Linked DNA regions of Caenorhabditis elegans. The protein of the gene in region 2 purifies or fractionates together with the protein of the main gene of each other region. This does not show direct contact. Each region holds a gene or a part of one and is shown on either strand. Other genes may lie near its edges. The genes, in order: tag-267 and C53A5.11.

Evidence for each region.
Region 1: the proteins of C53A5.11 (region 2) and tag-267 fractionate together in Caenorhabditis elegans (co-fractionation; one large-scale study listed by BioGRID). This does not show direct contact.

Annotation. Positions count from the first base shown.
Region 1 is NC_003281.10:638,821-642,124, reverse strand, and holds tag-267 (Major sperm protein), read right to left. Parts: upstream 1,336-3,304; 5' UTR 1,332-1,335; coding exon 1,266-1,331; intron 1,211-1,265; coding exon 1,051-1,210; intron 1,008-1,050; coding exon 897-1,007; intron 839-896; coding exon 585-838; 3' UTR 506-584; downstream 1-505. Other genes in the region: W06E11.1 (RNB domain-containing protein), read right to left, coding at 1-53; tag-266 (Golgin subfamily A member 7/ERF4 domain-containing protein), read left to right, coding at 1,915-2,072, 2,137-2,347, 2,798-2,968.
Region 2 is NC_003283.11:14,560,997-14,565,144, reverse strand, and holds C53A5.11 (Kelch-like protein 10), read right to left. Parts: upstream 2,257-4,148; coding exon 2,245-2,256; intron 2,197-2,244; coding exon 1,845-2,196; intron 1,385-1,844; coding exon 1,173-1,384; intron 1,127-1,172; coding exon 922-1,126; intron 874-921; coding exon 506-873; downstream 1-505. Other genes in the region: Muscarinic acetylcholine receptor gar-3, read left to right, coding at 1-77; srt-32 (Serpentine Receptor, class T), read right to left, coding at 3,852-3,932, 3,981-4,148.

The DNA.
Region 1 (3,304 bases), on a different chromosome or scaffold from region 2:
AGTTTTCGAATAATTTGCTCTTGTTCGTCGTCAGAAGCACCGTCTACTTCCATTTAGTATGAGATCCTGAAAAATTTGAGCGATTTGGACGGTTTATACGAATTATATATTTAAAAATCGTTTGTTTTTCCTTAGTTTTGTTGAAAAACCCCATTTTTACCTAGAAGAACACAAATTTTCCCGAAAAATTTGGAAAAATAAAAGCTAAAATGCAATTTTTTGTGTAATTAATAAGGATTTTTGTAGAAAATTTTAATTTTAGTTTACTAATATTTTTGGAGAATTTTTAGACACAATTTTTGTGAGATTCTGACTTTTTTTGCGATTTTTCTAGTTCTCTCACGGAAAACTCAGCAAAAATCTCGTCTTTCCAATCAAAAATTCCCAAAAAACCACTGAAAAATGTTAAATTTCAATCAATAAATGCCACGTGGCAAATAAATATTAACAGAAGATGTTAAAACTTCCAAAAATCGATTTAAAAAACCAGAAAAAAATTAAGAAAAAAACATTTTTAGCTAAAAAAACGAAAAATCAACAAACAAAAAGATAAATTCAACAAAAAATGTGTCAACAAGTAAATTTCAATTCATTTTTTCGATAATATTTGCAAGTTTTCTCGGTTTTCCATCGCCTTCCGTAGTGGTTCCATAGGCTTTGTTACGTTGTTGACGGCTTTCCAGGTCCAAAATTGCGGTCTTTTTGATCTTTTTCAGGCCTGGATGGACTTCTGAAGAGCCTTCAACGGGTTCTTCGCCTTCTTCATAAATAAATCCTCCTAGTACCTTGGGCTTCACCTCTTGCGGGAGAATTGTGATGGCGCCAGTGACGAAACTCTCTGAAAAAAATTGTTATTGGGTAATTTTATCAACTTTTAAGCTTAATTCTATGCTTACGAGCTTTAATATTCTTCGAGTCAGCTTCTTCCCGCTCCCTGAACGCCGGAATATGCACCATCCGCTCCTTTTTCGACTTTGGCGCAACAATAGCTCGGAAAACTCCGGATTCTGAAAAATTTCTCATAGATTTTTCTCAATAAAATACTCTCACCTGTCTTCAATTTGGTTTTCGTCAACACTTCCTCGTCGTTTGACCATTTTAGCGCCTCCAAATCTTCTAAACTAACACCAATCGGTTTTTTGATGAGGAAAACTTGAAAATCCGAGCTCTCATCGATCGTCATGTCAGCCACACCATTTCTGGCTTCTTCCTTAATACATTTAATTAAAACCAAAAAAGTTGTAATCAAGAAATTCAATTCTTACCACTTTTTTTACCCGTTTTCCAGATTGCTCTGAGTCCGAGTCCTGGTGCTTTCGTTTTTTGCCCATTTTACTGGAAAATTTTGCAAAATTTCAGATTTTTTAAAATTATAAAACACAAATATATTAAAAATAAATGCGTTTAGCGAAAAAAAATTGGAAAATCTGCAAAAAAAGGAAAAAATATGTTTCACAAAAAAGTGCGATAGGGCGCCGTTGCATACCACAAGAGACTTCACGAAATTGAGAGATTTCACATTGGAGAAATGAGGAACAACGAGTAAATGACATATAATTTTAGATTTTCTTGTTACAAAGTAAATAATTTATTTTCATTTAATAAAATCTTACATTTTATAACACTTTTACTAGGTGTTCAACTAAAAAACCTCGCGTTTATACTGTGACATTCGGAAACATGCGTTCTGCAAACAACCTTTTACCCAGAGAGAGCGTGGTCTCCTTGAGTTCTCAATTTCTATTGATTTTCTTTTTTCTCTATTTTCCAGACGGCTCACTGTTAATTTTCCGGCATTTTTCTCATTTTTTATGAATTTTCTAAAACATTTTCAACTTCAGCCGCTTCCTCACATCAAAATTAACACCAAACCCCTAAAATATCCTACATTTTTCCAGAGAAAATTCATAAAAAATGTCACATGGCTCACCAGCCCCATCGGCGTCGGTTTCCAGTGACGGCGAAGAGCCAGAAATAGACGTGATGCCGAGTAGTGACGAGGAATCCGAGCCAATATACATTCCAAAGGAGAAGGAACCCGTCGTGATTCGTGGAGTTGGAAATATCACAGTGTAGGTGGTTTTTAAGAGAAAAAAAGCTATATTTATCAAAAAAAATCATCGAATTTTCCTTCAGATTTGGCATGAATTCCCGTTTCAACACGGAATATCCGCCCGAACTAACCGGATATATTGCTCCAGAAGAACTCTCGGCGACACTGTCTCGCGTAAATTCTGTGCTCAAACGCCACGTACAAACGTCATCGCGCTGGCTTTTATGTGGATTAGCGTTTTGCTGTTGCTCAATTGGATGCTCAATGTGGCCGGTGTTATGTCTGAATCGGAGGGTAAGAATTCGAAAAATTAGGCGAGATAATTCGGCTCCGTGTTGATTTACGAGGATTTTTTCGCCGATTTTCCAATAAAATTCATCTGAAAAGTGGTTTGAGACACTTTGAATGGGTCTGCTTAATATTTAGCAGACCCATAGTTGGTCTGCTAAATATTTAGCAGACCCACAGTTGGTCTGCTAAATATTTAGCAGGCAATGGCAGTTATGAACTGTTTAGTTTGAAATGTTTGAAACACTTTGATTTAAGGTAAGAAAACCAACTGAAAACCACTAAAAATGTGGAAAGAAACCGCCAGAAACTCGAAAAATCTAGAAAAATTGTGCCGTGAAAAGCCTGTAATTTTTTTTTTTAACCAAAAGAACTGAAAAAATCTAGATAAAATCCCCGTAAATCGACACAGCCCAGTTTTCAGTTAAATTTTCTCTTAAATTCCCCAATTTTCAGACCGTCTTAGCGCTGGAAAAATGTCTGGACCACGAGAATGTTAGCCTTTATCACAAATTGGGCCTCCACTGGTCCCTGGCTCGGCGCCCAACGGAGCCCTCAGACCGCCTGACCGAATATGTGCTCGAATTGAAAACTTTGCCTAAACCCGCCTTAAATCTTCCCGATTAGTCCCCATCCGGAAATTGCGAAATTTTGCACATTTTTCGAAAAATTTCGCATTTTCGCCCACTGTTTCCAAACAAATTTGTACTTTTTTTGTTCTTCCATTTGACCTGATTTTTCCGTATTTCTGTCTATTTTTGTATATATTTCCCGATTGTCATCACCACCACCACTTCCCCCAATGCTTTATTCAGGGTTTTTAGTTTTTTTTTTTTTCAAATCGAATCTAGTCTACCAGGCTTAAATGACTGAAAATTGGCTTGAAAATTATTCGGAAAATATCAAATATACTGAAATTCTTTAAAATTTTGAAAAATATATCTACTTTTCCGAAAAAAAACA
Region 2 (4,148 bases):
CATACATGCGAATTCTCCGTTGCAAATTTAAAGCGGAACGTCCCACAATGAATCAGGGATATGTCCGACGCAACTAGAGACTCAATCAATCAGTACAAAAATGTGCACAACTCCCTTTGCCAAGATCTCGAAACACTTGAAACAGTATATTAGATGCATTTGAAAACCGGTCCAACATCATCATTTTCTAATTTTTTTCAACTTTTTTCTTAACTTTTTTCAAATTAGTTCGAAATATTTGGTCTTGTTTATCAACATTCTTCTCACCGAATCATTGCTCATTCATTGTTGACGGGTTTTTTAATGTAAAGAAACTCTTTATTTTTATTATGTTCTATTTTTTAATGAGTCACAATTATTTAAAATCTGAAAAAAAAATCCTGGAAGAGAAACTGCATTCTTATATTCAAGAAATTTACTCAATTTATGCTTCGGAACAATTATAGCAAGACCAAAAATGAAAACGCAATGTTTTTTATCATAATTCTGTTTGAGAACATCTGTATTAAGAAGTCGCCCATGTCAAAGTCTGTGGATCAAACCTCTCCGTCTCTTTAATAAGATCCCAGTCATGAGAACATCCACGAATTGCATAGATTGCTTCATTCGTAGCATGAAGCTTAAAATACTTTCTTCCCGTATTCATCGATGGCTCATCTTTCCATGTATTTGTCAATGGATCGTAACTTTGAAAGGTTTTTAATGTGTTGCAAGGGGTGTTCCATCCACCAGCCACATAGATTCTTCCACGGAATACACATGCACCAAAACCTGCACGTCCAACCATATTACCACAAACCTCAAACTTGTCTTTCGAATCTGATAATTTCTCAATAGTCTCTTCATAATCTTTTCCATTGAAGCCGCCAAGCACTGAACCATGATTAATTAAGAGAAGGTTGAATTCTTGCTAGAACTTACCAAAAAGTTGTCCATAAAATGATACAACTGATGCATCGGCGCGACGGTTATTTAATGATGGGCCTGTGGTCCAGTCTCCTCCAGTTTTAATATCATAAATCTCAACTGAACTCATATATGTCGCATCGTATCCTCCCACTGCGTAAATTGCGTCCTCATGAATACATGCAGATGTCCGAGTTCGTCCATGCATTAGCCTTGTACACTGTAAAGCTTTTTGCTCATTAAATTCACTAGCTAAATAAACAAACCTCTACACGAATACCCTTCTCTTTATCAAACATCTCTACACGATTCAAATATGTTCCATTATTCATTCCTCCGATTATAAAAACTTTCGTTGAACTGGATACCACTGCGTAATGGGATTTTGGATTAGGAAGTCTTCCAATAGGCATGAAGCTCATTGTATCAGGTTTGAAGTATCCAATGAAAAGTGGCTCGCGGGAATTTTGTTTTCGATCTGAAAAAGAGAGAAGATAGACAATTAACTTGCGCTATTTCCATCCGGATGCGCGCACGGCGATTCTCAAACGGCCGTGATACGCGGATCGTGCGGTCTTCTATCACGATCGGCTCATTGTGGCCACTGAAGTATTTTGTGCAAATTGCAAATTAACTATATACATAGTATGATATAACCTGACCGCTGAAGCATTTTGTGCATATTGCAAATTAACTATATACATATGTAGTATGATATAACATTCAAAGCTTCAGCGATGCCTCCTTGAAAACTTGCGGTACAAGATATCCTAATTACAACGAAACATCTAAATTTGTCCTTTAGCAATGGATTTGAAAATTCCAGTATATTTTAAATTGTGAAATATACAGAAGTTAGCTAGCGATGTATGCATAATGTCTCACAATCAGTGTCAGAATCAGACATTTTGTTATTAACATACAAAGAGAAATCTTACCTGCTACCAAAATTGGATCCATATTCAGCACACCATCATCAACCATAAAAATTTGTTCTTTGGAATTCAAAGTATTAATATAGTTCTTCAATTTTGTATCAGCAACTTCCATCAATGAAGTAATATCATGAATCATTGTGATGCATTTTAAATTATCTTTTCCTTCGTATAATTCAAAACTTAATATTCCAAAAAACATTTGCAAAGTTTGAATCAGATTTTCGGTAGTGTTTCTGAACTGATTTCTCATTTCTATTGCTTTTGGATGCTGTGTTTCTTCTGATTGTGAGTCACTGTGGTAATCAAACTCTGATGCACCAGATTCTCGATCTGATTCTGAATCTGAAAATATCTGAAATCGAAAAATTATGAACATATAAATAAATTAGCATTGTCTCACGTGATTCGTCATTTTTTCGACACCAATAATTCCTTGCCTGTGACGAGGAATGCCAAGAGAAGTTATCTGAAAATCAAACGTTTGAGAAAAAATTAGTTTAACAAAACTAAAAGTGAAAAGGAAAACTACAGAATAAGGATAAAGCCTACGGTACAAGCTTTCTTCTTTTATTCTACTTTGATCTATGCTGCGTTGCTTTATAAGTGTGTATTTACTCAACAACTCAAAAAAATTTCAAAGCATTACTGAGGAATCTTTTAGCGCCGAGAAAGCGGAGATGACAAATCTTGCTAACATTAAATTTATATAGAATTTTGTATTCATTTCATGATTCATCGAGTTTGTCTGATTATGTATCTTCTCGTTTAGTGAAGAGCAATAAAAACAGTTTGTTATTTGCTTTTATGATGCTATAATTTCAAAATAACGTAGTAAAGTATTCAAGAACTATTTGGAAATTTCTAATTTGCATCCAAAACTATATCAATTTTGACTGACAGACGCCAAAAAAAACTAATCTTCTGTGACTTTATTTTATTTTGATTCCATTTCAATTGTTTGTATTAATAATAAACATTGTAATTCTTTGAACCCGCAGAGATGCTCAAAATTAACCAAAAAAAATCGATTTTTTTTGAAAACTAGTCAACTTACCAAAACTTTGACTGAAAAATTTTAAAACCGTAAAACTCTTTACAAATAGAGCGTGTTGTTTTGACTGCCAAAAGTTATTAACGTTAGACGAAATCCCGAGAATCCACTTTTAAGGTAAAATGTTTTTTACCTTAAAAGAGAATAAAAACTGAAAAAAAATGAGTAAATCAAATAATGGTCCGATAATATAGAATCGGAATACTCTTTGCTGAAAGAACCTGTATTTTTATCGAAAGAAAAATGAGGAATCGTATTATCAATGTGATACTGTAATTGACACATAGAAATTCCTATCCAGTTTTAGAAATGGTATTTCATATTGAAAGTTATTAGGAAATTATTTTTTATGTCATCTTGACTGAAGACTTCACAGAGGCACAAGTCTTCCTAGATCTCAGAAATATATCCTGAAAAAGCGATTTAAAGCTGAAGGTGGAATGAAGAGTGGAATGAGTGAAAAGGCGTTTTCATGACGTCACACGTAGAATTGATTTCCACTCAGTTAACTCACAAAAAGTCGTTCAATTTTTGATAAAAACTTTGCTTGGAATTTTTTTTTGCTGAATGTGGTTCAGGTACACGTCACCAAATATTCCTCACTGTAAACCTGAAATTGTTTCCTCTTGCTCATCTTTTTTTTACGGTTAGAAATATAATTTTCATGAGTTCTAAAACGATCAAAGTATAAACATTACATTCTGCAATATGAAAGTGGTGATTACAGTAACTTTATCATTTATCTGAGGAACTAAGGTATTTGATTTTGCAACAATATGTATTGCTAATCGTAATTTTTAATCACTTCTCTCCCTATTTGAACTATTTGTGCAGACATTGCTGGTTTAATATAAATGTACTTGCTATAAATAAAAAAACATCTGAAGCTTTGAATTTGTTTTATTCTATTTTAACGAATTAAAAACGAATAAATTGTAGATTTTACCGGTTGTCGTTCAATTCACATTACGATTTCCCACTTGGACAACAAGAGCTGCTGAAGTTTTTGACACAACTGAAGTTTTTCCGAATGCGAACTTAAAATTTTGAAAGATTGCATCGAATAGTTTATAAATAATTCTCACCGTTAGCCCCAATTTCAGGAGTACCCCATTTCTGATTGTTTTATTAAGTGTTAAATATATGAATACTGGCGATGCACTTCCCATTTGCCAAGTGAATTGACCAAATAGTATAATTGAGAATGGGACTTCCACATAGTTCATAATTACGTAAATCATAGATGCAGAAAA